Pelodiscus sinensis: one gene and its partners. The protein of the gene in region 1 purifies or fractionates together with the protein of each later gene. This does not show direct contact. Links are inferred from orthologs where the notes say so. Each region holds a gene or a part of one and is shown in the gene's direction. Other genes may lie near its edges. The genes, in order: RAB7A, VDAC2, ARL8B and VDAC1.

Region 1 (8,493 bases):
TACAGCTCTTACTACATTTAAAATGCAGAGCCACAGTGGTCCCGGTCCCAGCTTGCGCCTGGTCCAAGTCCTAGCCCTGCTGTGGCTCTGCAGTTTAAATGTAGCCAGGCTGCCTGTGTGCCTGGCTCCTACTGCATTTAAATTGCAGAGATGCGGTAGAGATAGCTCCTGGATCTGGTGCAAGCCGCAACAGAGCGCCTCCCCTCATCGATTAGCCAATTACCTACACAAATAGCCAATTACCCACTTCTTAACATCCTTACTGAGAATTTCTGATGCACCAGCTTTTTAATCCTTTGGAATAGATACAATCCAGAGTCACTGTCACCCAGACAGTAATTCATTCTGGTAGGGAAACATTTAGGGTTAGTATTAAAAAAAGTGAGTAATTGTAAGAATGGTATATACTTATGACAAGTGGTCAGATTACCTGTGGACAAGTCCAGAGACCTTCCATAAATAAAGGATAAGTGTAACATAACATATGACACAAGCAATAAAGACTGCAATGAGAAATGTAACATGCATCAGACCAGAATGCTTGGTACTTGAGGTTTCAGAAAGGATGTTATACTGTTATTCTTAGTATCCCTACAGCAGGATAGATGGTCCTGACTTTTACAGACAAATCGAGAAGACAAATGCTGACATGTACAGGTTGTAAGCAGCCCCTATAAAGTACTCAGAATTCTCACTGATACAGAAGTCAGTTGGAATTGAAGGCATTGGACACCTTGCAGTAAGTACTCAAAACCACACTTGTCCAGACCCTAAATCCTGTGTACACAGGCATCTCACTTAAATCTACCACTGTTGTTGTAGCACCAGTATGGATCCATTGATGGTAGCCACATGGAAGCACTAATGCTGACCAGTGTTTCCTCAATCTTTTCCATACATGTGTGGATTTTTTTTATATCCATGTGCAGAATAAATATTTGCTATGCACTGAAGCATGTACGAATATGCACCACCAGTAGAAACAAAAAACCCAGTTGTGGGTGCTCTGCTAATCAGCTGTGTGTCAATCTGTCCTGAGTGGCCAGGCAAGCAGGCAGCTTCCAGGGAACACTGGTGCTGACCAGTAGTTCAGTATTCATACTGCAAGCTGGCTTAGACAATGCAGGTGATCAGTGTACAGGAACTTCCACCCATGGTATTACAAAAGTGGTAATGCAACAATGGAAGATATTTAAGATGAGTGCTCATGAGGTCACAGCCTCAATTAGCCAAAATGAATCAAAGGATGACAAATAAAGGGCTGTGTCTGGACAAAACTAGACTACTCCAGAACTGCAACAGTAAGAGACCTTGTGTTCACATCTTTTTGGTTCCTTTTTTTGTTTTAGTAAGTTAAAATGTTATAATGTTAGTTTGAGGAAGTCAGTCCAAAGAGTAGAGGTGGTGGAATTGAGATAAGCTTTGGGAAGCTTGTCAAGAGAAGTGAGCCTGAAGGAGGAATTTGAAGAAAGCAAGTGAGGTGTCATTGAGAAATGTTAAATATTTTATATAGCCAGTGGTTAATATTTCAATATTCACAATCCACAAGTCTATCTCTTCCTTCTGTGTAGTCAGGCCAAACATCCAAGGACGTTCTCAAGGAGCTGTTCGGTGATGTACTGGAGCAATGGGGGGTGGATTATTGTACTCTGGAGAAAAAAATGAAAATGATCAGAATTAGTCAGAATCAATTTGATACATTATGTAGCATGTGTCCAGACATGGGATAACTGTAGATCAGCATCTTTGTAATCCTCTGAACTTTGACATTCAGACTGTGTTATAGAACTAAGTCCAGAATTGGACTCTTAACCATCATGCCCTGTTTAGGGCCAGATCTTGACTGTGGAAATCCTCTAACCGGTAGCTTCATGCTGTCTAGCACTGCCTGAATGTCTTAGAGATCTGTTTTAACGTTAATAGACAATTTAATCACAGAATAATAATTGAGTATTTGAAAAGAGAGAACACAGGTTGATTTGCCCATCACTTTTATAGTTCTGTCACTTCTTGAAATGCATTTTCCTGAGAATGACCTCTAGATAAAGTTATTTTCAGCTGAGAGTAAGGCGGTATAGAGGCTGGTGGGGAAAGAGATGTTATGCTGTTGTTGTTCACCTCTGTTTGCTAAGCTTCAGATTTGTTTATCTATTGCCTTACCCACCTTTCCATGCCAAAGAATGGCCACTGAATAGGTAACAGCCAATAAACTTTTGATGACACCAGGCTAGAGGCATCAACTTGTCATTCATCTTTGAGAAATAGGTTTATTTACTTCACAGACTTGTATGATAAATAACTTCAATTGTGATTTCATCTTATGCTCATAACTTTACATATATTACTGTTACATACATTTTGCCATGATGCTACTAACCAGCAAATTATCACTTTTCAAATGATACCTTCAAGGCATATTTTGTACAAAGATTAGTGTGCAGGGTGTAAATACCAGGGTGCATTCCGTCACATGCATTCATCCAAGAAACAACACATTGTCTACACTTTCTGGTTTACAAAAATTGTATTGATACATTTACTCTTATTTGCATTGATACAATTGAGGGAATGAACTGTCTAGTCCGGCACGCTTGGGACCTGTTCGGTGCCGATCCAGAGAATTTGCCAGACAATGGGAGGTCAATATTGTCTAACAGCATTACCAACACTTCCACTGCTTACCGAGCACTTGGAAGACATTTAAGGGTAAATTAGAGGTAAATAACAGCACAGAACACTGAGAGCCAGGACTGGTGGCTATAAACAAACTTTATGGGACCATGGGAAACTTGGCCACACCCATAGGTGGACATCCAGCTAACTAAAATAATGACGGACCTCAGATGTTGCTGGACTGGGAATACCAAACTAGAGCAGTTCAACCTGTAGCAGGAAAAAAGCAGGGCCATGTTGAAACAAGTCAGAGAAGGAACAATATAAGGGGACTCACATACCATTGTATTTAGTTGGAGTAAGCAGGTTTGATTGTTTGTCACACGAGGAAAAAAAGACAAATGTGAGGGAAATTATTTTTTCTAATTGTGAAGGGATGAACGCATGAAGTGTGTTGATGTATATTAACTTGGTGAAACTGACAGCCAGAAGTCAGTAAATTGTGAAAAGGGTCACAAATCCACTGACACATACGAGACCATTGATTTCCACAGTAATATATTTCCCTGTAAATAACTGATATTTGGTTTCATAATGATCCAGTTGTTCAGATTAGATTTTGTGTATTCTTAACCAGACTCGTCTGTCAGGAAACACTGACTTCTTAACAGGTTATGAAAACTATTTTGCTGGCCTCACATCTTATCAGGATTTTCACTGCATTACATTTTTTTCTTTTAGCCTATCCTTGTTTTCATTTTTGTTGACAGGTATGTCACTATGATGCAGATAGAAGAATCATGAGGCTTCAGTCCATATCTGCATCTGACATGATAGTTACATATTTTTTATTTTTCTGTCTTAGGGTTTAACAATGGTATTTTCAACAAGCTGTGGCCCTTACATATAAGCTGTATATCCTGCTCAATGACAAAATTCTCATTCACTTCAATAGGACCATGATCGGTCCGTATTAGTCTGATAACAGAAAGCGTTGCCTGCAGGAATTAGCAAGTCACAATAAAAAAGAATTGCATGGCACAGATGCTGGTTGTGCAAAGGAAGAAATCCCAGGCTTGTGTTAGGTTTTCACTAATGTGATGCATAAGAAAAAGATCCCATTTAAAATAAATGTGTTGCACTTTTGCCAGAATCTCTGTGATCAGAAGAAGGCAGAATTTTCAAACACAGAAACTGCCTCCTTTGAATATTGTACAGGAAAAAAAGGAACATTTAGGAGTGGACAGAGCAGCACTTTATGGCTGTTGGTAGTGTCTGTTCTTTGTCCACCTAGCATTTTATGGTCTTTTTTCCAGGAAACACACAGGTGGAGAAGTTGAATGTTGTGCCCCAGTTTGATGCTGTAGCCAATACACTTCTGGTAATTAGGCTGCACAGTGAGGATGGCATGAGCATCACAGTCAAAGCAGTGATGCACTTTCATGAGTTCTGTCTTTGAGGTTTTTCTTATGTCTTTCTTCTTTTGTTCAATGAAGCATCATAATCAACACCTTATGTAGAAATTTCCATCTCATAATCTCAAAGTACTTTATAGCCATTAATAAACAACACAACCCCTGTGAGATTGATCAGTATAATTAACACCATCCAACAGATGGGGAAATGGAGGCACAGAGAAAGTAAAGATTTGCCCAATCTCAAGAGGATTCCCTATCCTCTGCTCTAAAAAGCTGATCCAGCTCCTGTTGCAATCAACATTAAGATTTGTATTACCTGCAGTGAGCTAGATCAGCCTGCGACATCCCATTCTCACATACACCTTTGTTGTTTGGTTCTCTCTAATGTAGTATAACTTTAATATTGTGTAATATATTATCTGCAATGAAGAATATTCCAGATAGGAATATAATATATATATATATCAGATTCTAATAGATTATAGCACTTTTAATAGTAACTTCTATCTATAACTCTCCAAATCCTTTACAGACCTTAAGGAATTAAACGTTATGAAACCACACTGAAACTGGCATTATCCCCAAGTGACATACAGAGAAAATGAGTTACGGTACTGAGCAGGCAAGTACCTTGCCCAAAGTCCACAGAAAATCTGTATCAGAGATGGGGAAAGAATCCAGGTTTGTTTACTTCTAGTCCTAATCATAAACCATTCCCCTTCTTTTCCTGATCTGAAAATTCAATTTCTGTTAACATTGCTCGATAGGATTTTACTTTTTTAATATGTTTGTAAAGAACTTCATTAATACATAGGCACAGGTCACACTGTGTCCCGTGGCTACCCTGGGCTGCAGACGGCGAACCGCAGCCAGTGGGAGCCATGAGGCTCTGTGGCTGCAAAGTAAACAAACCAGAGTGGCCCGGTAGAATCTTTCTCAGAATGCTCGGAGGCGCCACAGCACGCAGCCTGGCATCCAAGATGGCCACCTAGATGACGCCAAGGCGGGCGTGCTTGGACGTGTGACGCGGCAACTGCACTCCCCCCCGCCTACCCTGTGCGTGCTGACGTTACAGCACCGAATGGTCCCGTGACCGGAAGCTGGCGCGGGATAGGCGGAAGTGAAAGCAGGGAGGCTGTTTGGCCCCATTAAAGCGGAGTCGAAGGCAGCAGTGGAGGTAGCGAGGCTTGGAGCTCGTGTCGCGGGGCTGCTGAGCGTGGTGAGTGGCCGGCTTGGCGATGTGGGGCTCTCTCCTTCCCTGGGCTGGGTTGTGGCCTGCTGCTCCCCTGGCGGCTCGGGACTTGGGCGGGGGCGAAAGGGGGGGAAGGGTCTGTGGCTTGGCGGAGGTAGCGGGCGCTTGGCGGGGTCTGCGTGGTGGGCAGCTGCTTGGTGGGGGCGGAGAACGTAGGCCCGGCGCTGCGAAGGAGGCTGCTCGCCGGGGCCGGCGGGCGGCAGCTGCTCTCGCAAGTGCCCTGAGGCTGGGGGAGGGAGGAAAAGGCAGCCGGCTCCACCCTAGTCCCCCTGAGGAGGGGGAGGTAGTAGATCCCGGTGTCTGGGACTAAAGCGAGAGGAGGGGCTCTAGGAGGAGGTGGCAGCGGGGCTCCTCCCTTGTTGGAGTAGGAGGGGGAGCGGCTCTGTGAGGAGGGGCCTTTTCTTTCCAGTTGCGGGGACTAAATGGGGTGGGGAGGAGGCGTTGATGGACCCGGAAAATTGTTCCTTTGTGTCTTATCCTGTGCCAGAGAATGGGGCTCTTCCTTGTTAGTGGGATTTGCATCGAGAGCTCACTGAGTTAGGGAGGCATTGTGTGTAAGGATTGGGATGGGTTTAAGATTTTTCTTTCCTCCTGCCCTCATCTATATGTAACAATGATGCTTTCATAATGCTTCAGAGTAGCTAGTAAAAGCTGATGTTTTGAATATAAAGCTTTCCTGGTCGATGTGGATGTTTTCTTCTAAGGAAGAGGCCATTCCTTCAGCCTCTCTAGTTGCCTGTAGTCAGGTGCATTGACCTGATATGAAAATCAGTAAGAGCTCAAGTAGAAATGATAAAGTTTCTGATGGAGATTTGTCACCCACCTTTTGTGCTTGGGTTTATGCAAACTCTGAAGAATGGGGGTGGGTGGGGGGGGGGGGGAGAACAGCTAGAGGCTAGGAATATCCCTAAGTTTTTTTTTTTTTCAGAAAAAACTACTATAATTTGAAATATTATTCAGTGTAATCAGTGGATATAATTAACTTACTAGCAGACTGCACTTAGTCCAGTTAATAACAGGATAACATAGGCAACTGAAAAGACTGGCAGTTATTGCGCAAGTAACTTCTTTGCATGCATAAGGACTGAGTCAGTGGGAAGAATTAAATTTGATGCTAAGATGCTGTAGGCTGTAATCAGCTCTTATGCCTTTAAAAAGGCTAACCATTGCTATCCTGATTAATTAAAAAGCTAAGTTAAGGAGGGATTTCAATATTTTTCTAACTGCTAGCAGAGGTGATGTATTGGTTTAGCTGTATTTTAAAATAGTTCTGATTATACTGACTTCTTACAACCTTGAGGTAAGACATAAACTTGAGTCATAGGCCAAGTTTAATTTTGTCTTTCATGATTCTTCAAAAACTTGTCCTGGTGGAACAGAGCTGCTAAACCTATGAAGGACTGCATGGGCAAACATGTAAATAAACACAAGGTTTTACAAATTCCTCCCAGACAAGCAGGAAGTTCAATGCTAAGATCTGTTTTGTTGCTAACAATTTGGAACATGGGTAACAAATAGTAGCAGTCCACTACTACACCACTCACTACTACACAACTCTTCTGTGCTATGCAAATTGCAAGTCAACATCTTACACCTGATAATATAGATGGGGATTATGAAGTACGTGACCCAGCTTGCTCTACTAGAGTTAGCTGACTTCATTTGTCTGGTTATGGCTTTAACTTGGAATGCCTGTTTGCCACTAAGACCACTAGCATTTAATAAAATAAAAAAAGTCCTGCAGCACCTGAGACTAACAGATGGTATTATGCACTTTTGTGGGCATATCCAAAGCTCATACCATCTGCAGCACCTTAGATAAATAAAAAAAAAACCAATAGTCCTACTTTTTTGTTAAACTTTCAGTTACAGACTGAAGTATTTGATAAAACAGTTTCTTGGCTAATATTCTCCAGGCAGCCATATTGAAGTGCAACTCTTTTATAATCTGGAATGAAGTTTGTTTAAAGTAGGTAGACTACTGTGTTCACTGTTTTTTAAATCTGTGGTTCTATGCCATGCCCTCAGTCAGGAAAAACTCTCATTCTGTCTTTCCCTTGTGACTTCAGCAGCTGACTAAACACATGACTTGCTATCCACAAACTAATAATACTTTGTCTAGATTTGGTGGATCAAGTTCAGAATTCAAAGGGTCTTCATTATGACTTATTTCCTAATGTAATAAATTCTTAGGCATTCAAAGTGTAATCTCAAACTTCTCTTCTACATGTGCTGTTATATTCTAGTACAGAAAGTACAAGATTGGGTTAAACTGTAATTACCAAAATAAGCAGAACTGCTTTCAAGAAGCCCTACAGCAGTACAGTTTTCTCCACTAATCTGCTGCAGAATCTAGTATCTAAAAACCTTCCTAAATTATCAGCTAGGTCAGGAAATGCTTCTCAGACTCAATATAACTGTTTTTGTTTCTAGAGAACTAATCTACAAAGATGCTTAAGGCGGGACAATAGATATTGTAAAGCATGGCTTAAAACACTTGAACTCTAATATAATTGGGCACATTGAGACTGCTCTGAAATACAATTCTAACTAGCTTCTCCATAGCTTTCTTTTTTGGTAAGTCAAAGTGGCTTCTGTTGCTTAAGCCTATTTGCTTTTGGACTGCACTCAAATGTCCAAGGAGAAGAGTGGTTTTGGACTCTGAACTTCAGTAGCAGAACTTATAAGAGTTTCATGCTGTTTGAGATTTACCTGTCAGCAGAATAAATTTATGGGCAAAACATGACTTTGGGGAAGTCCTTTCTTATTCGAAACTATAAGACTGTGCCTCTGTTTTGGGGAAGAGGGGAGTTTTCTAGGGAGAGCTGAACAGTGACTGCAGAATATTTGTAGATAGTTTCACTGCATGGCATTAAACATATTACCCCTGGAGTGGTATAAAAATCCCATTATATAGGGAGCATATAAGATTGCCCACTTCACTACTGTTAAGGCAGTTGATTTGACAATCCCAAATCATTTCAAAGTAGGTGGCCTACAGAGCCTGATCTAAAACAAAAGATTAAGGAACATGGCAAAGGATGCCACCATACTACATGAGAGAATTACTGATCCTCCAGAATGGTAGTGGATTGCTGTGTAGCAGGATGTCAAACTTCAGCCTGTAGTCAAAAGCCCAATCTCTGTAAAATATACACTATTTTAAGAAGGCTGTTCTGGAATCCACTTTGTTAAACTGCACATCTTTAA
Region 2 (8,003 bases), on another chromosome or scaffold:
ATAGAGTGAAGACTTTCCAATAGCCCCCTCTCTCACGCACACACACACACGCATGGCAGATGCATTCCTCCCTCTCTCTCTCTCTCTCACACACACACACGTATGTAGGTACATAATTTTCCTACAGACCAACAGCTTCATTCTCTACACAACCCTGAGTGGAGTTCCCTGCTGTGCACTGAATGACACAAGTGTCCCGTGGGGAAAATAGTGAGTATATAAAGACAGTCATAACGCAGCTCCACAAAGAACTGAATTAACCTCCATTCTGGCATTTCCTAATTTTTCCAGTGCTTGAGTCTGTAACCTTACTGTTCTTTTGAACTCAGGCTTTCTTAAGCAAAATACAGGACTATGTAGCACTTTAAAGACTAACAAGATGGTTTATTAGATGATGAGCTTTCATGGGCCAGACCCACTTCCTCAGATGAGTTTTGTCAACTGTACATGGTTGTGGTGCTGTTTGACTCTTCCCTCAAACATTTTAACTGACCTGCATTACCCCAAAGTGATGTAGAAATGAATAGTTTTATTTAGAAAAGACAATGGTTTTCCAAATGTTTTTTTTACCGGGTAAAACTTATCAGATAAATATATTTTAAGATCTCCTGTGTTTTCTGCCCCATACCTCGTGCCCCCCACACTGAGGCCCAGATCCTGGAAGGCAGTTAGACACCTACCTATCTTTGAGGAGCTGGAGCTTAGCCTCTACATGCCTTTGGCGCAATGCAGTAACAACCAGGGCAAGGGATCTGATTGCATCTTAGTTAATTGCTTGTCATGCTCCATCTTCCCTGTTGCTCCCTCGATTTGTAAATTATGCTGATTCCCACCAATGTGACTCTTTTATCAATGGGTAACTTACACCTCCATTGAGGTCACCACTGAATTTTGCCCCATGGACGAAATTCAGCCAAAGTGAAGACAACTCCACGGAGGGCAGTAGGTTAGCCCCTCTTTACACCATCGGGACTTTGGCCCTGGGATTGATCCAGTGTTGGAAATTGGAATTATTGTGTAAAGGGGTTTTCACGTTAAGCTGCATGCTGATATGGGTCAGAGTCAAAGTCGATTCTGGAGCCTTGCATATAATTGCCCTCCCATCTGGATGGAGCCATGTGTTGGTAACTATCGTGTTTATATGTTCACAACTATTAAAGTGTCACTTTCATTCTGTTTTAATATTGTTTAATCTGTAATAAAGTTTTGGTCTGGGAAATGATACTAAATGACATTGGAAACAAAGCTGCATGTGCTATGTAGACTTGCTTGGGAGACAGGGGACAGCTCGGTCCCAATCCCATGGGGTAACAGACATCACTTGACCCCTGGAGTATGGGACGGACTTTGCAGAAAGTCCTTCCACTTGTACATGGAAAGGCCCCAACTGGACATACCACTCAGAGTGAGGGGGTATCCCCTTCCAGAGGCTGTGGCCCTGCCTGCCCAAAATGAAAGATTTTTGAACAGTTAGCCAGGAGACTCTGCAGGGTGGGGAAATGGAGCTGCTAGTTAGTGGTTACTATCAGGGAAAAGCCCCTGGGTAACAGAGGCTCTTGGGGAGGCTGACTGCCGTTTGGAGGAGTCAGGCGGCACCGCAGCAATTGTAACTGAGGCGAGCAGCCTCTTTTCTGTTGGGAAACTGATGCCAGGACCCCTCCAGCAGCTTTGGACGGCTGTAAACAGTAAAAACAAACTTGTTCTTCATCCGGGACGTGATCCTCTCACGCCTGATTTCTCCAACACTGCTTCCAGTCATCGAACCCAGGAACTCACTGGGTCAGCGTCCGTCCTGTCATCCCTGGGCCCCAACCTTATCTCCGCGCAAGGCAGGAGTAACAGCACCAGCCAACTCGTTGCCCTCCACCTCCCGTCTTCAGTGATGGCCTTTGGGACCCTCAGGGGACCATTCTTGCCATTGCTGAGTTGAGGGATTTTGAGTCACACAGGGAGGAAATGGTTAATTATTGCTGCATTGTTGGACATTACTCATTTTTTCCCTGATTCTCCTGCTTTTGTCCCCATTTCCTGCCATTTCTCTCTCTCTCTCTCTCCTTCAGTCCTGCCTTTCTATAAATAAAACATTGTTTATTCCTATCAGTTGGTGCTTGATTTCCTGTACTTATAAATTGTATTGTCCTAGTGGTTACTTTGGCGTATCCAGGACTGTCAATCACTGTGTTACTCCTGCCTCAGCAAGACAGAGGCCTAGCTGGTGCTAAACTGGGTGTTAGCTCCCAGAAGCCCCGGATCAAACAAACACCTCCGCATTCTGCCTGCCTTTGCTTTGCCTGCGGCTTAATATTTGATGCCCTGTGGTTCCCGGGCTTCTCTAACAGTCCTCCTGTGGCATCCAGACAGCTAGGCTCTGTCTACACTGCAGCACTGTTTCAGGATACCGGAGGCATCCCGAAATAGCTATCCCGTGTCTTCACAGCAAGCCCGTTACTTCAAAATGTAATGGGCTCACTATTCCGTCGTCCCTGTAACCCTCATCCCGCGAGGAGTAAGGGATGTTTCAGGACAGCGGGTTATTTGAAAATTTGGTGCTGTGTGGATAGTGTCAAATGACGAAATAAGCTATTTCAAAATAAGATGGAAGTAAGATACACAATTTGAGCTACACAAATTGCGTATGTTATTTTGACCTAAGGTGCAGTGTAGACGTATCCCCATTGGACACGCACAGTACCTGACAGCTTCACTAATCCCAAGGAAACAGGATACACACAGCTTGACTAGTACAACTCATGGTCAGTCCTTTATACTATTCCACCATGGATTTATAGGGAATGAATTGTACATTTCCTTTCAATTTTTCTTATATACCTAGTATTCCTCACTCACTATCAGGGACTTAAACCTATTAATAAAAAGAGCCACAACCTCCGTCTTCACAGATCTGCATGCAAGTTTCATTAGAGGCTCCAGTCTAGGAGGTGTGTACAGCAATGTCTTCTCCAGTCTTTTCCATCCATGTGTGGATTTTTTCTATCCACATGCAGAATATTTTTTTATATGCACCGAGGCATTGGTGAACGTGCACCACCAGTGGAGACAAAAATACGAGCTATGGGTACAGGCATGCCCTGATGTAAAAGACATTCACAACAATGCAACTGAATCATATAAACATGCAAGAGATGGCCTGCAAAACCTCATTTTTCACCTGAGAATACCACGGGATTTGGGGACAGCCCTTTCCAACTTCCTTAGATTGCAGTGCCTCAATCCTACAAATACTTAAGCCCAGGTGTGACTCTACTCCTGAGAGTAATCTCATCAAAATCAATAAAACTCATGAGTAAAATTACACGCCTCAGTGTTTGTAAGGGCCAGCATTCCCCTGTAGCCTTTCCGGTGGAAACCACTGGCTAGCAAGAGAGTAAGTGTAGTAGCTGGGTGGGTAGCTGGGATGAACGTAGTCAAGGGAATGCCATTCTTTCAAATACTACTCCAAGTAGGAGAGCCACCTCCAGATGAACCCTTACAGGCCCTTAGCATTGCACGAAGTAGGGCAAGACTTGCTGAAGTAGCAATCCCTTTAAAGCAGCACCTAGTACAGACATATACTAGGGAAAAGGATGTTTTAACCCATCATAATCAGTGACCATACCTAGAAAATAGAAAATACCTCCTGCCATGCCAGGAACTTTATGAAGGACTTGACTTAGTAGCCTAGAAGTTTCTCTCTCTTTCTGTGGCCCTTCTCTGGATAGCTGTACAGAGGTCTCACCTCCTCACAGTGTCCTCAAGTCACCTATTTTTCCTCATTTGTTAACTGGAGGATATTGTCCAGTACTTCGGTCTTAAATGTTAGTTGCACCTCAGTCCATTAGCAAGTCTACCTGATATAAATCTGACTGCTCTCTGACGTGCACTTGGATCTGCAGGCACCAAAAATAAATAGCTTCTGAACAGTAAATGTAATCAAAGAAACAGTAACAGATTATGAGAAGTGTGATCCCAAGCCTGGAAATCAATCCCAAATTTCAGTCATATCCTTTCATGCTGATCCCTCACTGTGGCCTGAGGGAAGCTTCTTTAGCTCCCTCCTTCAGTTTGCCCTATCTGTAAAATGGGACTAATAGTATCTCATGAGGGTGATGTGAGGTTTAATTAGTGAACAGTTGCAAAGCACTGAGTACAATTAGTGCTGTATAGAACTCAGGCAGAAATGAGACCCAGCAAAACTCGAGCACAACAGAGGTTAACACTTTTACTAACTACTATTTCAGGTGCAAACTGTTCTGCACATTTGTTTACATCTCTCAGATGTCATTACTCCCATTTCAATGAATTAGGGACACGGGGCTCTTTTTCTGAACCAGCTTTCCTATGAGCGTTAGATTGGCAAGGACATTTAGTAAGTTGAATGTTCTTAGCTTGTGTTTTTAACAGAACCTCTTATGCCCTATTAAAGCAGAAAACTCAAAGGACCCCTCCCCTAAAAGGCTCTAAAATAGCTCCTCCTATAAGGGCTAAAGTCCCATTCATTTAGCCACCCTTGAGCCTTAGTAAAACAGAGTGTATAGCAGGAAGTTAAAGCATAGCAGCAGTGTTTGCTTATGGACTCGTTCCTTGAGGCACAAGGGGAAACCTCCAGGGAGATGGAAATCCCACCAAAGAGAAAAAAGAAGAGAAAGCATTCAGCCAGCAAAGAAAAACACAAATGTGCGAGTAAGTACAAGTTTAATCATGCGCCCTAGGTTGGCTGCTATCCCCTTCCCTTAGATCCTTAATTTTCTCTCTTGCAATTGAATTCTCTCCCCCCCCCCCCCAACTTTTATTTTCTTGTTATGAAAGAATAAGGAGCTTTGGGATTGACTATGTATGAGTGAATAATTGGGAACTTGCAGCCACCACCTGCAGAGATGCCCTTTATAAAGCCAAGTACAACCAGAGGGAGTTCAGTGTCCTTTACTCCAGTGATCCTATAGACTAGAGAGAAGGGCACCTAGACTTCCCCCCCCAGCTCAGGACTGCAGACTTTCAAAGTGTTCCAGGCCTACCATTGGCATGACTGTGAGCATAGCCATTTCCTACATGTGCATTTGTGCACATTCAACTAGTGCAATGCCTGTGTGGATGTTCTGCTTTAGTTTTAAGAGTGACTTCTTTTGGTTTATTTCAATCCTGTTCCTAACTGGCTTAACTAGAAAGAAGCCTGGAATAAGAACGTTTGCACCAATGTCTTGAAATTGGTTTAAAATCACACTGCAAGTTAAATGGGGACAATTCAATGTGTGGGCAAGTCCTTGGCAGAGTTCTGGCAGTTGCTGTATTGTTAGGGGAGGGGATTTGGCATTCTTTGCTCCCCAGGTGGGGAACTTAAGGCCTGGCGGCTAGATGCAGCCCTGGGCTTACCTGGATCCAGATCCCGAGGTTCAGGGTCTGCCCCCAGCACTGGGGAGCCCACATGGGCGCTCCAGCCACTCTGCAGCCCCATTGCAGGGCTGGAGCACACAAAATCTACTAGGCTGGGCCCCCCAGGCTCTGGTGTACCAGGAGAATGTGGGGAAGCATCTTTCTCCATCTCAGTCAGGGGCCACACCAGTGAGGGTCTGGTGGGGTTTTTTTTTTTTTTTGCTTCTTACCTGTGTGCGGGCCCCGACTGATTTGTGTGTGGGTCAGTGGTCTCTGACCCAAAAAAGGTTCCCCACCCCTGCTGTATATGTTGTGCTCAACTCTTCATGTCCTGGGTTTCTAACATTCGATAACTGGTATCTGCAGAGTCCTTGCCTTTTTTTTTTTTTTTTAGCTTTGATCCATACAAAATGGTGATGGTTAAGGAATGTAGGCTGGAGGAACTGGCTGGCTGGCACAGATAGTGGAGGAAAGCTAATATAGAGAAGAGAATAGGGGTGGGGTTTTGACAGTGGCTCAGACTCTGAGAAAACAGAGTTATGAAGCCAAAAGAAGTTGCCTATCACAGTAACCTTTGCTTTCCAAATATACTGAGTTCCACAGTAACCCTCCTGCCCCAATATTCTGAAAACTTAAAGGATGCATCTGTAGCTAGAGAGAAACTGAGGGATGGATGCATGGGTTTTTATACCGTTAACAAAATCCTGACACAAAACCGGAAGGGTGCAGTCTTGCTTCAGCTTTGGTCTTTATGTTGATTCATCACTGTTTCTGCAGGATGGGACGGTTGTTTCTTACATTCTCTGATTTCTAAAAATAAAACCAATCAATTTTTTTTAAAAAAAGAAGCATGGTTGCTGGTATATGGAACAGAGATTTGTTCTTAACTATTTTTTGGTTTAAGTAGTGGACTTGTGGCTTTAAATAATGCAGTGTGGCATAAATTGTATAAGTTCATTTTGTATTCGACAAGACATCTCTTTTCTAGTGAATGTTCCAATCCACTAATTTCCTCCTCCTATCCCTCTTCCTGTCTCCCCAGTTGCCATTCATTCCTTTCTCCTGTGCATTTGGTATTAACACACTAATACGTTTTCTCATGTCCAGTACTCATCATCTTCATTTAAATGTATTAGCTTGTTAGGTCCTCCAGAATGTATGTATTTATGCTGGACCTGAAAACTATTCAGTTCACCTCTGCATATCATTTATAAAAACAAAAATATGCTGGACCTGCTGGCTCAACAGCTGCTCTGTTTTCCACAATCCACCTTTACTGCCCTATATTCTGATAAATTATATTATCATATAGTGTATTGATTATACTCTCTTGTGGAACCTAATTTTAAATGAAAGAGGCAATACTATTAGAGGGGACTAAAAACCTTAGAACAAGCTGTGCCATACACAGTTCCTTGGCCGAGCGAAAATATTGTATTGGTGACTAAGCAGTTTCTAGTATCAGAGGGGTAGCCGTGTTAGTCTGAATCTGCAAAAGCGACGAGGAGTCCTGTGGCACCTTATAGACTAACTGAAGTGTAGGAGCATAAGCTTTCGTGGGCAAAGACCCACACATGCATCTGACGAAGTGGGTCTTTGCCCACGAAAGCTTATGCTCCTACACTTCAGTTAGTCTATAAGGTGCCACAGGACTCCTCGTCGCTTAAGCAGTTTCTGTGGTGGGATTTGTCATAAGGCATGATTACAGAGACTGGTGCAAACCAGTCATGTGACACTCAGTCTAGCCTTGCTTTCCATTCTTAGAAAAGGATCACCCCAGGGACCAGGACCACTGTAGCAGGGAAGGAGGGCAGCCCGGGATGGTTTCAGTGGGGAGTTAGGGAGGTGTGCAGTGCACAAAAAGGCTTTGGCAGCTGTGGTGAGGAGAACTTGTGCACCGGGGCAGTGGACATGAAAGGGTGGCAATGAGGGATACAAGTACAATCCTTGAGGCACATGTAAGTTTTAGCTGCCTAGTGGTACCTCTTATGTTGCTACCAGAGGCAGAATTTAGGAAAGCACCATAAAACACACTGGCTGCGTCTAGATTGGCATGATTTTCCGGAAATGCTTTTAACGGAAAAGTTTTCCGTTAAAAGCATTTTCGGAACAGAGTGTCTAGATTGGCATGGCCGCTTTTCCGTAAAAGCACTTTTTGCGGAAAAGCGTCCGTGCCAATCTAGACACGCTTTTCCGCAAAAAAAGCCCCGATCGCCATTTTCGCAATTGGGGCTTTTTTGCGGAAAACAAATCTGAGCTGTTTACACTGGCCCTTTTGCTCAAAACTTTTGCGCAAAAGGGACTTTTGCCTGAACGGGAGCAGCATAGTATTTCCACAAGAACACTGGCAATCTTAATGAGAGCGTCGGTGCTTTTGCGGAAATTCAAGCGGCCGGTGTAGACAGCTGGCAAGTTTTTTCCGGAAAAGCGGCTGATTTTTCCGGAAAAACTGGCCAGTCTAGACACAGCCAATGGCTTTTTAGGTGTGCAGTAAACTGGAAAGGAGGGCAGAGCCTGAAACCCAGTTCAACACTTTCTTATATTTCAGGAACAATCTCCCACACAGCTTCCTCCAAGGAAAGTCTTCTGTCCCTGTCCCCCCCCCCCCTTTGAGCACCCCCAGCTTTCTCCTCCCC
Region 3 (7,896 bases), about 9.2 Mb from region 1:
CTGAACATATTATGATTATTATTACTTAAAGCCACTCCTACAATTACATATGGAGGCAGACCACAGGATGCACCCATGTGGAAACAGCTGCAGGATTGTGACTTAACTTATGTAAAATCACATATATATATATATATATATATATATATATATATATATATATATATATATATATATATATAAAACACCATTTCAGCTAGCCCGTGAAATACAATGAATCCAAATGTCAGAAGGGATTAGCTTCATTTGAGATTTTGTCACAACCTTAAATCAAAAAGTATGGGCTTATCAAATCTTTTGATAGTCCTTGGGTCAGTTCATGGTTGTATATTGAAATCATGTAAGATATCATTTACTAAAACAGGTGACAGCCCTTTCAGATGCATTTTTCTTTGAGATTTGGAGAGAGTTCAAACATGAAACACAAAGGAGTAAAAAGCTTGAGTGAGGTGGGACTTCATGTTCTTGATTCATATGTCTATTCAAGAAGGCACAAAAGAGTACTTACCTAACACTCTAGATAACTGACATAATTTTTAAAAAATCAAATCAGATGGAACTAACAGCTAACAGATCCTAACAGAACTTGACCTATCAGGGAACTATAAAATTCTGCACACAAACCTAAGAACATAAGAATGGCCATACTGGGTCAGACCAAATGTCTATCCAGCCCAGTATCCTGCCTGCTGACAGTGGCCAATGCCAGGTGTCCCAGAGGGAGTGAATTGAACAGATAATGATCAAATGATCTCTCTCCTGCCATCCATCTCCACCCTCTGACAAACAGAGGCTAGGGACACCATTCCTTACCCATACTGGCTAATAGCCATTTATGGACTTAACCTCCATGAATTTATCTAGTTCTCTTTTAAACCCTGCTATAGTCCTAGCCTTCACAACCTCTTCCGGCAAGGAGTTCCACAGATTGACTATGCGCTGTGTGAAGAAGAACCTCTGCCCATTTCAAGCCCCTGCTGCTCCAAGACCGAAGTAAATAAATAGATATGTCTTTGTACTGCAAAGTTGCACAGATGGACTATTTTGGATCAATGGGAGGTGGTGGAAGCAGGCTTCAAAGCTGGAGGACCCTCCTTCATACACTTTGCCTCCAGTCCCTGTTCTTTTTCTTATTTTTAAAAAATTCTGTGAGTCGAAATGTGGATCCTTGCCCAGACCTATACACTGAAATCAACCTAACATTAAATTGTTAATCTACTTTTCCCCAATGACATTATTTGCTTCCATTATATAGTTCACTCATTTTAGCCCAGGCAATCAGGCTGATCAATTTTACTTTTTCATTCTCAAACTAGCACAGAGTCCCAGCGGTAAGTTTCAATGTAATAAACCAGGGGTTCCCAAACTTTTTGACATGGGGACCAGTAAATCGATTCATGAGCTTTTGGAGGACCGGTAACATTCATTTGCATATTTGCATATTCATTAAGCAATGTTGAATATTCAAATAAGTTGTTTCTGGTCCTCTCAAAGCCCCCAGTGCCAGTTTTAGCAAAGCTTTTGATATGGTCACCCACAATATTCTTGCCAGCAAGCTAAGGGAATATGGATTGGATAAATGGACTGTAAAATGGACAGAAAGCTGGCTAGAGCAGGGTTTCCCAAACTTTTTTACTTTAGTTGGAACCCGTTTTTTTTAGTACTGTTTTTTGCAACCCAAAAATATAAACACATATCAAAAATGAATTAAAAATGAATAAATTTTCAGTGTTTCACCTGGCTGCATCCTCTGCCCAGCCTGGGCCAGGGCTTGGGGGACATGGCACCACATGGGCACTCCAGGAGGCAGGAGCAGGAGCAGATTGAGGGTAGGGTATCTGGTTAGGAGGGAGGGTACAAGGAGGGGTAGGGTTGCCAGGTGTCTGGTTTTGTACCAGACAGTCCAGTATTTGAGAATTCTGTCCGGGAAACAAATTGAGAAAATACTGGACATTTTTGTCCAGTATTTTCTAATTAGGTGTATCAGTCCGTAGCTGTGAACTGCCTGGCTGGTGATATGCTCACACTGTGTGAGTGTGTTTACCAGCCAGGCAGTTCGCAACTACTCGAGGGAGGGTATAGGGGGTGGGGCAGAATGGAATCCCCGAGGGTTGGACTCACTTGTGTGACCAGGTCAGTCCCTCTTCCTGCCAGCCGATTTGCTCCCCCCTGCCTGCTTCTCCTCCCGATCTCCCCCGTCCAACACCTCCCCCCCCGGCCAGCCCCGCTTCCGAAGGCTGGTTCTCCCATCCTCCTCCTCTCGATCTCCCCCATCCAGCCCCCCTGCTTCCCGTCCAGCCTTGCTTCTGCCAGCCGGCCGGCTGGCCGGCCGCTCCCCCCCTCCCCCCCAGTCTCCACCAGACAACCCCGCTGCCCTCAACCCTGCTTCCCGGTGGCTGGTTTCCCACCCCGCCACAAACCTCCTCCCAGCCTGCCCTGCCCCGCTCCCTTCCCGGCAGCCACGCTGAGGTCTGGGATTTTTTTCCCGCGGCCCAGTTCCAGGCCGCAGCCCATAATTTGGGAAGCGCTGTAATAAACAATCACTTTCCAAGGGTGGAATTAGCAGGGGTAATGGCAGTAGTATTGCAGCAGGTGTGGGGTTGTTAGATGGAGGAAGTGTGTGGGGAGAAGTGGATAGATATAGGAGGTAGCATAGGAGGCTTCACTGTGTGTGGGTGTGGTTGTTAACAGGGCAGTGAGAGCAATGTAGGAGAGCAGAGAGTAGTGGGGTGGGGAGCAGTGGAGAATGGGGAGGTTGTGGGGTAGTGGGGGTATTGGGGTGGCACAGGGCTAATTGTGCAGCAGGTTTAAGAGGGGACATCACAGGACCAGGGGGTTAGCAGTGAAGGTGTCAGGGTAGCAGTGGACAGATAGCAGACAGAAGCAGTGCAGGATATTGGAAGGTGATGGGGAATCAGAAGCAGTGGAATTATTGGGGATTTCGAGGATGGTGGGGTGAGGAAGCAATATGGGAGACTGGGTGGGCAGCAGTGAGGCATAGCAGTGTTGCCAACTCTGATGATTTATCATAAATCTTGTGATACTTTATGTTTAAAATTCCTGGCTCCTGTGTGGAAATATTAGCTTTCCTTTTTTTGGGGAAAAAATTCCAACCCTAATGATATTGGAGAAAAGCTGTAAAAAGTGACCCAAGTGCCCCCTGAAGGTGCAGAAAGCAGAAGGAAAATAAAAATAACCTACTAGGTATATTTTCTTTTTCAAAATCTCAAGATTTTTAAGGCAATTATGGGGAAGAGGGAGCTGACTCAAAGGTTTTGAACATCTGGAATGGTCTGGCCAGAATTCAGTGTTAATATTTTTTTAGAATTTTGACAGATAATATCAATGATTATTTTTAAGCTTTTTTAATTTTTTTTATTGGTTTACATTTTTACAGTTGTGGGAAATGATAGTGGCAAGTGTCACCTAATACCCCTAAACCAAATTCTCAAGCAGCATTTTTCCTACCTTGCCTATCTGTAAATTTCCACCATTATCCACATACTTGTTGTATATAGAGGCTACGTCTAGACTGGCATGATTTTCCGAAATGCTTTTAACTGAAAAGTTTTCTGTTAAAAGCATTTTCGGAACAGAGCGTCTAGATTGGCACGGACGCTTGTCCGCCAAAGCACTTTTTGCGGAAAAGCGTCTGTGGCCAATCTAGATGCGCTTTTCCGAAAAAAAGCCCTGATCGCGAAAATGGCAATCGGGGCTTTTTTGCGGAAAACAAATCTCAGCTGTCTACACTGGCCCTTTTGCGCAAAAGTTTTGCACAAAAGGGACTTTTGCCCGAACGGGAGCAGCATAGTATTTCTGCAAAAAGCACTGATTTCTTACAGTAGGAAGTCAGTGCTTTTGCAGAAATTCAAGCGGCCAGTGTAGACAACTGGCAAGTTTTTCCGGAAAAGCGGCTGATTTTCTAGAAAAACTGTCCAGTCTAGACACAGCCACAGTGAAACTGACACAGTAGGATGGATAAAAATCGAACCCTTCTACTCCCTAGTATGGGTTTGATGGGAACTGTGCAGGTATTGGAGGTGGAGCCCTGTGGGTGCTTGGGGGGGATATATAGCAGGCTGACGGTAGAGGGTGGCAGTGGGGCGCAAAAAGGGCACAGCCAAGCGTTCATCATTCACTGACTTGTCCTAGTTCCTATTCGTGCCCCAGTCCGGCCCTATCCCTTATCCTTGCTCCAGCCTCTATTCCGCTCACCTTGCCTCTTGGCTCGGGACAATCCCCTGTCCCTGCCCAGGCTCTGTGCTTTTCCCTCCCTCAGTCCCCAAGCAGATTTTTTTTTTGGCTCACAGCAGCCCCGCCCCCAAATCCCACCATTTGCAGCCTGAGCGCGCCCCACGCCCGTTTAAAGTGCCCCCCGCCTATGGGGGCCCTGCCTATCCCCTGCCCTGCCCCAGCCGCTGTCACCGCTCTCGCCCCCGCTCCAGCACTCCCCGCTCCCTCTGCCCTGCCCAAGCCCAGCGGGCCGGTGCGCCAGAGCGAGTCCTCCCCGGGCGCAGAGCGGACATCCAGCCGGCAGGGGGCGCCGTAGGCCGCGCTGGCGGCGGCTGCCAGCCGGGGGCCGCTCTTGCTCCGGCAGGCCGGCGTGTGGGTCGGCAGCCGAGCCGTCATATGACCGCGGCGCGGCGAGCAGGGCAGCGTTGGCCTTGGCTGGAGCCGCAGCCCGCCAGCTCGCGCCGCCAGAGCCCGCCACCAGCGCTCGTGCCGGAGGGTCCCGGCCCGGCTCGCCGCCGCCATGCTGGCGCTGCTGTCCCGGCTGCTGGACTGGTTCCGCTCGCTCTTCTGGAAGGAGGAGATGGAGCTCACCCTGGTGGGGCTGCAGTACTCGGGCAAGACCACCTTCGTCAACGTCATCGCGGTGAGCGGCGGGGCTGCCCGGGGAGGGGGAGTCAGGCGGGTCCCTAGGCCCGTCTCCCATGGGGGGGGGGTCTCGGTGTTGGGGGCGCGTGCTGGGGAGAGGGGGGAGCATGACCCTGCCCTGCGGCTGGCCCCGGGGGTCTTTCGGGGTCTCGGGGTGGGGTGATCCAGGGCCTGTCTGTCTGGCTCCCGCTGGGCTCTGGGGGCCTCTCTGTCCCGTGTGGGTAATGGGGGGGGGAGAATGCAAGAGGGTGTCCGGGTCCCTAGGTTTGTCCCCCAATGCGTTGTTTGGGTGCTAAACAGGCCTGGCATTGGAGGGTGTGTGGGGACGCTGAGCCAGCTGCTCTTCTCTGCCAGCCTTAAGGCAGGGTGGAGTGCCGTGCAGGTTTCCACCCGTGGTTGGCGGATGATGCTTTGGTTTGCATGTGGGAAGGGTGGATTTTGGGAGTGGGGCCATCTTTGAGTGACATTAGGGTATGTCTGAAGAGCCAACCCTCGAAACAGGCGGTTGCAGTAGATGACCAGCCTTGATGCTGCAGTGAGGCCAATGGAAATCTTTAGTCTATCTGGTAGGGAGAGCAGTGCTTCCTACCAGCTGCTCCTACAGGCCTTGCTACAATGTTATTATTTAGTAATGAGATGGTGGTGGTGATCTCTGAATGAGATTTGGTATCCACCTGTGTGAGCTTAAATTGGGTTTGCAATTAGCCATAGTCTACAGTTCTCGCAAATCTGTTACATACAGGTCTTGGTGCATTTTATAGTTCCTGGCACAGTGTCCTAGATAGCATCCAGGCAAATGGGATACAGAAGTACAGTAGTGTAAAATGGACATTCTGTGTTTTGAGCTTTGTGGGATAAAATACTGACTGTAATAATGGTCTCTTTATTGCTGATGATCCTTTCATGCATTTTCTGTAAAACAAAGGCTATTGGGGTTGAGATGTCCTCATTAGAACTATAGCTACAGAACAGTGCTTCCTGTACTAACAAATGTAGCATAGTTTGCTTGATGTGTACACAGGCCAATCACTGACTCAGGCTAGCTTGATGACATGGTTTTAGAACACCTTTCTGTGTCATGGTGGGTGGGCAAACTATATTAATGACCACATGATGTGAAGAATGTCTTCAACCACTTTCTTCCATTTTATTTCTGATGGGCTGCCAATAATCTGCTTAACTGCTTTCTCTTGTCATAAAAGTCCTGCTCCTGACTCTGCACTCTTCTCTTGTTTCTGCACTCTGTTGCTTATTCTCAGCTGCTGAAAATACTCTGAATTAATCCATCTATACCTTTTCCTGTTAGAATGTTCTAGAGGGCATTCGCTTTCTGAATAGTTGAAGGAAATAACTGCGGTTCACTATTGTGTCTGATGGATTTACTAAACCAGTTATAAATATGCCTCTTGTGTGAGGTTGATTGTGACTGTTGCTGAGCAGGAGACAAATTGAATGACTTGCTTGGACCACTAAATTGCGTAAATTTCCTCTGGCTCTGCTATTGGCATTCGATACTACAGTTGGGAAAGGATGCATGTGACTTAGTTGGTTTTCCTTCACATGCAGTAACGGACATAACTGATAGTCAAAGTCATATACAGAGAAACTGAGGTAGGAAGCTAGTCTGGTGTGGACTTGGTAATCACTTGATGCACTGAGTTCTTGAGTGCAAGTTAGATAAGCTTCTTATCTTGGGTGACACAAACCAACTTTTTGGCTGCAGAAGAATGGAAACTGTCTGACTTCTTGTACAGCCACACAGATTTTATGCTATGTATGTTCAGTTAAGCCTGGATAGTCCTTATGACTTCAACTACTTTCATCACTCTTCTGCCAAAAGCATTTTCATTAATTCAGTATTGTGGCTGTTTTTCAAATGTATTAGAACTTTCAGATAGCATATTCATCGGGTCCAGTAGACCAGACTGTCCCTGAAAGCATGCAAGGCTTAATACAACAATTCAAGGTCCCCTGACAGTGTCGGTACATTTCAGAGGTGGTGTTTGTTTATGGAGGATAAGCTTTGCTCAGATCAATGTGTAAGTTTTACTCTGTGCATGCCACCCTGATCAGAGTTTTGTTTGGCTAACATGTTGGAAAAGAAACTTTTCAACTTGCAAATGTCATTGAAGAATTTAGGTCTTACTCAGTAAATGTCATTGAAGAATTTAGGTCTTACTCAGTAAATGTAACAGTTCTGACAGTTACATTGCCTAATCAACAATGTCACTCTAACTTGGTGTCATGCTAATACAGCAAACGTCTGATAATCTGCCCCCTTTAGGATCCAGGGGGTGCTGGATTATCAAATATGCTGGAGTACTGGAAGGGGGGCTATGAGGGGCCTGGGGGGGGAGGGGGAGTTGGCAGGGAACTGCACAGCATGGGAGAGGGTGGTGCTGTGGGACCAACCTGGCAGCAGCACCCCAACTGCTCTGCCCCTGGCTTCCCCAAGTCCACTGCTGTTGAAACTGACCAGTGGCAAACTTGGGGAAGCCAGGGCAGAGCAGCTCCATTGTCGGGCTGGCTGGAGCACTTCCAGGTTCCAGTTGGTGCTGGACTATCAGGAGTGCCGGACCACTGGATGATGGACAGTTGGAGTTTTACTGTACTGTATAACTAGGACACTCCACTCATTGGATAACATTTCTTCTTTAAATTCAGACATTGTCTAGTCCTTCAGATATGCTTAGTCAACAAAACTGTTAAGCTATGTTTACACTGGCGCAGTCTTGTGCCAGATATATGCAAATGAGGCTAAGTGTGGAATATCACAGCCTCATTTGCATATCTAATGAGCTGCCACTTTTGCGGAAGAGGCTCTTGCGCCAGAAGGAGCTGTCTACACTGCCTCTTCTTGTGCAAGAAAAACCCTCTTGCGCAATGCCATTATTCCCGAAAATAATCAGCGTAGTGGCAAGAAGGTGACTTATTAGATAGGCAAATGAGGCTCAGCGATATTCCATGCTAGCCTCATTTGCATTTCTCTGGCGCAAGATCGTGCCAGTGTAGACATAG
Region 4 (7,853 bases), on another chromosome or scaffold:
ATGCTTTTGTGCAAAAGTACATCTCTTGCGCAAAGGCACATGCCAGTGTAGACGCTCTCTTGCGTAAATACTTTAACGCAAGAACTCTTGCGTTAAAGAGTATGGCTGTGTCTACATTGGCACCCTTTTCCGGAAAAGGAATGCTAATGAGACACTCCAGAATTGCAAATGCCACGGGGGATTTAAATATCCCCCGCGGCATTTGCATGAACATGGCTGCCGCTTTTTTCCAGCTCGGGGCTTTGCCAGAGAAAAGCGCCAGTCTAGACGGGATCTTTCGGAAAATAAAGCCTTTTCCGGAAGATCCCTTATTCCTCTTAAAATCAGGAATAAGGGATCTTCCGGAAAAGGCTTTATTTTCTGAAAGATCCCGTCTAGACTGGTGCTTTTCTCCGGAAAAGCCCCGAGCCGGAAAAAAGCAGCAGCCATGTTCATGCAAATGCCGTGGGGGATATTTAAATCCCCCGCGGCATTTGCAATTCCGAAGTGTCTCATTAGCATCCCTTTTCCGGAAAAGGGTGCCAATGTAGACACAGCCTATTTGCGCAAGATTATGCCAATGTAAATGTAGTCAAGAAGTTACCCTGTTGACCTGAGCACTTTGCTAATATTTGGGGTCCTGCAGGTTGTTTCCAGTAGGAGGAGAAATAGAGCGAGGTATTTCTTTAACAGTGCTATTGATTTACAAAGAACGTGCACAAAGTCCTGTTTCTCTGAACACAATAAGATCAAATGATGAGAGGCAATGTCCTTGTTCACATGTCCAAGTATGCCTTTCCAGTCATCCCAAGGTAGACTACTTCTTTTTAGAGTAACTCATAGTTCTTTGGGTTCAATTTCAAATTGGCAGTCTGAATCTTACCACAAACCATTTATACGAGTTCCTATTCAGAGGGCTTAGATCCCACCAGGATATAATCTAGATATACACCGGCTAAAGATGGGGCAGAAAACTGTTGCAAATGTCCTGTTATTGGCTGGCCCAATTCCTCATCCAGATGACTGACTTCCACTGTGGTCTGTGATCCTTTGATTTCTTTCTCAAAGTGATTTTTAGCTCCGTAAATTCCTCCTGCACCTCATTTCTTCTAGCAACATTTTAGGTAAGAGGGGATCCAAAATTAAATCACCTATTTGGTTTCCTGAGAAGACAGGGACTCGGGAATTTGCACCCATCCAAAAATGGGGGAAATTGTGTCTGAAACTTAGACTTCTATAATTAGAGCAAGAACTCTGAATAGCGGGACAGTGGATGAGGCAATAATTGGTCTGGATTTCATTATGACTAATAATTGTGTAATAAATGCCAGGAAAAGCAACCTATTAATTCACTCTGTGGAAATTCCCTTTAAAGATGTGGTGCAAGAAAGACATATAATTTTAGGCATTTGGTCTGCAGTGAGCAAGTTGTCTTGCCTCCAGCAGCATGCTGGGATAGCTTTTAAGCAAAAGGAGGATGGAGAGTGACTGAGACATGCTTTAAGATCTAGATTTTCAGAGGGATTGTAGCTGTTAAGATTCTTGAGGGTGGGACTGGCAATGGACTCCTGTTCGTTTACTAAATGTTTCTGAAAACAGCAAATATTAGAAAATGGAACCACAACTGCAAAACAAAAATCAGTGGATCTAGTAAATACTGGTATAGAAGAAATCTACAAGGAAGAAAGGGGTGAAAGTGAGTCCCCAGAGTTTGCAGGCACAGAGCAGCAGAAAAAGCAGCAGGAAACAGCAAGCAAAGCACAGATAGTGTGGCCCTAAGAGAAAGCCAAGAGGAAGTGTTTTGGGCAGAGTTCCGGCTATAAAAGGAGACTTGAGATTGTGAGCAAGGAACCTGACTTCTGTTGTTTGCTCCTACCAGGTTCAAGGAAATGGGATTTTGTGTACATTCGTTGTAAATTAACAAGACTGTATCAAAGAAATAACCTGACTGTATCACCAGTTTCTCCTCCTAATGCAAGGTCCCAAATATTTGCAGATGGCTCAGGCCAGAAATATTAACAGTACCAAAATCAACACCCCTTTCTCAGGGGACTATTATTGTTTCAAGGAATAATGTTGCTAAGCTATCCTGCACTGATTGGAATTGGACAACCAGTGCATTGGCTTTACATCTTGTCCCGGGGTGCTGGAGCAGGTTTTATAATGGGGATTCTCAGAGCCACTGAACCAAATTGTAAACCCAGTGTAGAATGCAAACCACCTCAAGCCAAAGGGTGCAGTAGCACTCCTGGCATCCCTAGTTCCAACACTTATGTCTTGCCTTGGTGATGCTGGTCTTTGATTACTGCAACCTCAGCATAATGGGTCTCCCTGACGTACACCTTGCCAGAGTTCATACAACTTGCAGCTTTTAACTTTATCTTCCATGTCTGAGCCAGCACAATCTTACTGTTGAGTGTAGTACTGACCACCACACTACATACACTTAAGTAAGTGAAAAGCTCTATTCCTGTAACTCCACCGACATTAGGACTACTGCTGGGAATGAAGATACATATATTTGTGTTTGCTGGATAAGGGCCTTAGATTGTAAAGTCCTTGGGACAGGAAGCATATTTCCTCTACACTGCATACAGTGCTATAGTCAATAAGGGTATGTCTAGACTACATGGCTACATCAACAGAGCCATGTAGATGAGTTTACTAGACATAAGAAAATGAAGCGGCGATTTAAATAATCGCAGCTTCATTTACATGAAAATGGCCGCCACGCTGTGTCGATCAACTGTTTGGCGGCATAGTGGGGCAGTCTGAACGCGCTGCAGTCGACAAAGGAAGCCTTTGTTGACCGCTCCGGTATGCCTCATGAAATGAGGTATACCGGAGCGGTTGACAAAGGCTTCCCTTGTCGACTGTGGCGTGTCCAGACTGCCCCGCTGTGCCGCCAAAAAGCGCAGCGGCCATTTTCATGTAAATTAAGTGGTGATTATTTAAATCGCTGCTTTATTTTCCTATGTCTAGTAAACTCATCTACATGGCTCCGTCGATGCAGCCATGTAGTCTAGACATACCCTAAGAGAATATGTTTCACTTTCTGGTTCTCTTACCCACAGCACTAGGGTACCCGAGTGTTCCCTGTAAGCTGACAGCTTGGGCAGCCACCCAGGAGAGATACAGGTGCCTCCCAATGGATTAGCAGAGCATCCGCAGCTGGCAGCATGCATTTCTATTGGTAGTACACATCTGCACATGCCTTGGTTTGCATAACAAAATTTATTCTGCACCTGGATGGAAAACATTAGAGGGAACATTGGATACCACAGCTGGGAAGCAGAAAGGGCAAGGGAATATTTCTTCAGTTAAAAATAGAAGTGAGAAATACACGCTCTGTTTCCACTAGAACCATGTCCAACATGCTAGCCACTAGCCACTATTTGGCCAGTTGAGTGTAGCTACTTCACTATATACTTCACTATAGCAGAACTGGTTGGACACCACAGAACTAGAACTATAAAGGAGTTCCAGACATGGGTTTTATTAGATTTATAGTTGACCTGAAATGTTTTCCTAATGCACCGGTCTGAAACCTATGGCTCTAGAGCCAAATATGGCTCAGTACGGAACCAAATATGGCTCTTTTGCAAATCCCAAATACACACAACTTTTTAAATGTAAATGAAACATTAATTCAAAATTTAAAAAAGTGTAATTACTCATGTCAAGAATTTGTTTTGTCTATTTCACCTTTAACTGTTCATGTTAATAACCATCCATCCTCTCCACTCCTTGTAAACGTCAAAAGAAATGTGCAAAAATATGCAGCAGCAGAAGTCCCATGTAAGAAAGTCCTTGAATACAATGTTTCCTTTATGCCATTATTAGTCATCATGTCAATTATTAATAAAATTAAGTTGTATATTTTCAGTCATTCAAATGGGCCTTTTTAGAGGGCTCTTTGTTGAGCACTTATTCTGAATTTTAATGTAGTTTGGCTCTTCGGTTTGAAAAGGTTGCAGACTCCTGCTCTAACGTGACAAAAGCAGGGGGGCGCTGAACAATTTGTATAGTGTGTGTGTGTGGGGGGGGGGGGGAGGCTAAAAACCACTGAACCAAATATAAACTCCTGTAGCAGCTGGAAACCCGTTGGAGCCAGAGGTGCGGGTTGCAGCACCCCGGCGTGCCCTAGACTCGGCATCCCAGAAGTTGAAGGTGGACGAGGCTTCTGGGTATCATGCTCCCCACCCGCTGCCAGGGCAGGGCTGAGCCCAGCGCGGCTCTGCCCAGCACCGGGTTAAACCCCTGGGCAGCTGCTGGAGATCTGACGAACCCCCTTTCCTTGCCAAGCCCTGCAAGAGCTCCCCACCCAGCTGCGGGGCGAGGCAGCCCCAGCCGCTCCGGAGGGGGCGGGAGTCCCGTCTCCCGTCTGTCAGGGAGTGTCTGGGCTGCTATCGCGGTCTCTCCCTAGGCCGGGCTCCTAGGTCCGCCCCGCTCCCTCCCACCCAGCTGTCACTCAGCCCGGCTACAGCCGCCGCAGAGCCCGGCGAGCAAGGTAAGCGCGTGGGCCGGCAGCGGCGCCGCTCCGCAGCCTCCTCCCTGTCTCCGAGCAGGCCGCTCTGCAGAGGTAACCGGGCGGCGGCCGGGGAGAGAGGGGGCGGCCCGCAGGAGGGATGGGGCCGGGCGGTGCCTTTTGCAAAGGCCCGGAGCTCTGTGCTGCGGCCAGGCCCTGGCAGCTGCCTCCCTTCCCCCGCCCTGGAGCCTGAGCCGGGCGCCTGGATGCAAAGGGCTGGGCTGAGCCGGTCTTCCTCCAGTCACCTTCGGGGTGGTGCAGCCATGCGGAGAGGGCGTCGGATGTTCTCGGCAGCGTGGTCCCTATTTCAGGCAGCGCCCCCGGCTTATGCCCGCCGCCAGCTGGCTCAGAGAGGGAGGGGTTTGCAGGATGGCATCTCCCGCTTCCTTCTCCACCCCGTCATCCCCCCAGAGCCAGTCTGTAGGTGACCTTCTCTCTGGGGAAGGCGTGTAAGATTTACCCTACCGCATTCTCATACAGGCCCCGACTAGAACATGCGAGTCTGCTGTCCTCCCCCCGGCGAATCCCTAGGACGGGTTACATCGCAGTGCAGGGCTCTACTAGCTGATGCAATATGTAGATTATTCTCATAGCCAGGAGAGGGATGTAAATTATTGTGCCTACAATTTGTAACTTCTCCACCAACCAGATTTTACTATTGTGCATTATCTGGACTGCATTCATCCCTGTTCTTGGTTGGATTTTGGGTGCTCATACTTCCAGGGCCTCCTCCTCCCCTTGCATTCTGAATGCCCTTAATGCCTGTTTCATACCTTTTTTTTTTCTTTTTTTTTTTTTGAGGCCTGACAGTAATAAAACATATTTGCTGTTTGTCCATCAGGCTGTTAAAACTGCAGGATCCTGAAATGTGAACTGCTTCAATTGGTCTCAGGAATGATAGGAGGAAATTCCATAGCAGCTAAGCTTTGCATGTTTTAAAATGTACGTGGAGGCAAAATAAGAATATTTTTGCTAACAATTTACTATATAAACTTTTTCTGAAATAGTGTAGATTATAATCTTTCATTTCAGATGAGTTTTGATCCTTTGAAGCATGACTTGCTATGTGACTGATATAAATGTGAGCAATAACAGGTAACAGAATTTTGGTTATATGAGGATACTTCCATGTAGTGGACAAAATTCTGCCATTAACTCTCCCTACAATCCCATTGTCTTTAATGGAGTGGTAGTACTAGCTGCTAATCAGTCTGAGAATTGTCTTTAAGGTAATTATCCTTTAACCCTTGACGTGTACATGTTTCTGAAAGCATGCTTCCTGAGATATGTGCAGCTTTTTATAATTTTTCATTTTCATATAAAGCAAAGGTCACTGGCTATATGTCTGCTTATATTGTTATATGATAGCATGACTCATCACAGAATCTTTGGCCAGTAATTTACCTTATTTTAACTGGCTCATTCCAGCCTGTTATTTTCCGTATTCTTGTGAAAAGTGGGAATGAATTGTAGGGTTTAGTGGAGTTCCAGAAGTGAGAGAAATTCAGCATGAGATATTCAATAAAACACACACACCCAACTCCCAAAATACATGTACTTTTTAAAAAAGAAGTTATTTATATGTTAACTGAATGTTAAGACTGGGTAAAGGACCAGTTTAAGAATGCTAGGGACTGAATTCATTTAACCTATGATCAGGCTCAGCCTTGTGCAGCAGCCATGAAAGTTTTTCCACACTGTCTTGTCACGTGTGATCTGGAAGAACAATTTTTGTTGGTGTAAAGTAGCTCTGTCTCCATGTATTTTCTGTCACTGGCCATCAGTTAAAGTAAAATTGGAGTGGAAGGTATCCATGCTGTTGAGTAGAGTTATTTCTAAGGATAGTGATGGAAATGTAGCCGTGTTAGTCTGGTGTAGCTGAAACAAAAAACAGGACTATGTAGCACTTTAAAGACTAACAAGATGGTTTATTAGGTGATGAGCTTTCGTGGGCCAGACCCACTTCCTCAGATCAAATAGTGGAAGAAAATTGTCACAACCATATATACCAAAGGATACAATTCTAAGGAGCAGTGATAATGATTCTGTGTTGCATACCAGATTGCTTTGTGAGGGTCAGAAATGAAGATTTGTTCATTCCCTGGTAGGAATTGTCAGAATCTCTTTGAAGAAGGATGTTCGCAGTGTGAAAACTCTTTAAAGTACAAGACCTGCTCCATTTTTACATAACAAGTCATTTGTTTGGCCCGTCATTTTCTGTATTCCTCCTGTTTCTCCCCCCTCCCCCCCCCCCATCCTGCTATAGCATTTGTCTGGTAGTGCAAGAAAGTCTGAATTGGGTATGGAAACCAAAAAGATATCCCCGATTCAGTCTTGTGGCTTACCTGCAGGACGGTGTCAAACAGAATCTAAGTAGTGAGATTGCAAAGCCCAGACATACATATTTTGAGAAAATGACAGATGAAAAGCATAGAAGGAGAAAATGGATTTAACCTATACCCCCGCCCCTAACCGCTGCAGGTACAAGCTGGCTGCTTCAGGGAGCCATTTTCCTGTAGTGTGATAGGAACTAGCAAACAAAAATACACTGGGGAACCAATTGTTACCCTCAATATTAACTAGTCAGACCCATTAATTTGAGGGCGTGCTGATGTAATAATAGAAGTATCATATGGTTTGCTCTTCAGTGCTTTGCCCAGGCATACTGTGCCCTCTGAACTGGTTACCTTGTCCTGCATTGGTCATATAACTGGCAACTCAGATATCACTGGCCAAATAAATCACTGTCTTAATTCTGTTCCCATCCTTGCTTCCAATGGTCACATTATTGCTCACTGCTTCCTATACATGTATTTGCACAATCAATTAGAGATTAATTTGTGATTTTATTTTTAAATAATAGGATCTTTGGCACTTGGTTAGCTTTCACAACCTTCGTTAGCTTGATGGTCACAACGGGGAGGGCAGAATTGTATCCCGTGTTTTGTATTTCATAAGTATCTTAAATTTTACAAACAATAATAAAAACTGTCTACGTTAAAATTGTATTTAAAGCCATGGAAGTCGGATCCTGAACCCAAAGATCATTGAACTGGTCTTGTAAATATGCACTGAAGGGTTTTTGAAAATGTTTATTGCTTGATTAATCAAGAGTTGCTAGAGTATTTTAAATACACCAGTATTTAATAACTAAATGCATTACTTATTTGGATGATAATGTAACTGGTTTGAGAGGGTTTAAAATGCATAATATTAGCTCAGTGAAGAAAGAATAAGGCCCTTATCCTGCAAAGAGTTCCACAAACTCAGTGTGGATAGGGATGCCAAACCTGGTTTTGTCTGTGGTTGTTGGGCATGTCCCTGTGACCCTTAGGCAGGGGAGAGG

What was found.
Region 2: the proteins of RAB7A (region 1) and VDAC2 purify together in Homo sapiens (affinity purification with mass spectrometry; 3 studies listed by BioGRID and IntAct, with this or other methods). This does not show direct contact. The link is inferred for Pelodiscus sinensis from reciprocal best matches to the Homo sapiens genes RAB7A and VDAC2.
Region 3: the proteins of RAB7A (region 1) and ARL8B purify together in Homo sapiens (affinity purification with mass spectrometry; 4 studies listed by BioGRID and IntAct, with this or other methods). This does not show direct contact. The link is inferred for Pelodiscus sinensis from reciprocal best matches to the Homo sapiens genes RAB7A and ARL8B.
Region 4: the proteins of RAB7A (region 1) and VDAC1 purify together in Homo sapiens (affinity purification with mass spectrometry; 3 studies listed by BioGRID and IntAct, with this or other methods). This does not show direct contact. The link is inferred for Pelodiscus sinensis from reciprocal best matches to the Homo sapiens genes RAB7A and VDAC1.

The regions. Positions count from the first base shown.
Region 1 is NC_134721.1:25,508,295-25,516,787, forward strand, and holds the start of RAB7A (ras-related protein Rab-7a), read left to right. Parts: upstream 1-5,104; 5' UTR 5,105-5,250; intron 5,251-8,493.
Region 2 is NC_134718.1:8,199,795-8,207,797, forward strand, and holds the start of VDAC2 (non-selective voltage-gated ion channel VDAC2), read left to right. Parts: upstream 1-4,553; 5' UTR 4,554-4,568; coding exon 4,569-4,680; intron 4,681-6,058; exon of another isoform or gene 6,059-6,840; intron 6,841-8,003. UniProt on the Homo sapiens protein: Non-selective voltage-gated ion channel that mediates the transport of anions and cations through the mitochondrion outer membrane and plasma membrane.
Region 3 is NC_134721.1:16,316,109-16,324,004, forward strand, and holds the start of ARL8B (ADP-ribosylation factor-like protein 8B), read left to right. Parts: upstream 1-4,623; 5' UTR 4,624-4,753; coding exon 4,754-4,876; intron 4,877-7,896. UniProt on the Homo sapiens protein: Small GTPase which cycles between active GTP-bound and inactive GDP-bound states.
Region 4 is NC_134727.1:27,817,923-27,825,775, reverse strand, and holds the start of VDAC1 (non-selective voltage-gated ion channel VDAC1), read left to right. Parts: upstream 1-4,362; 5' UTR 4,363-4,489; exon of another isoform or gene 4,490-4,561; intron 4,562-5,348; exon of another isoform or gene 5,349-5,449; intron 5,450-7,853. UniProt on the Homo sapiens protein: Non-selective voltage-gated ion channel that mediates the transport of anions and cations through the mitochondrion outer membrane and plasma membrane.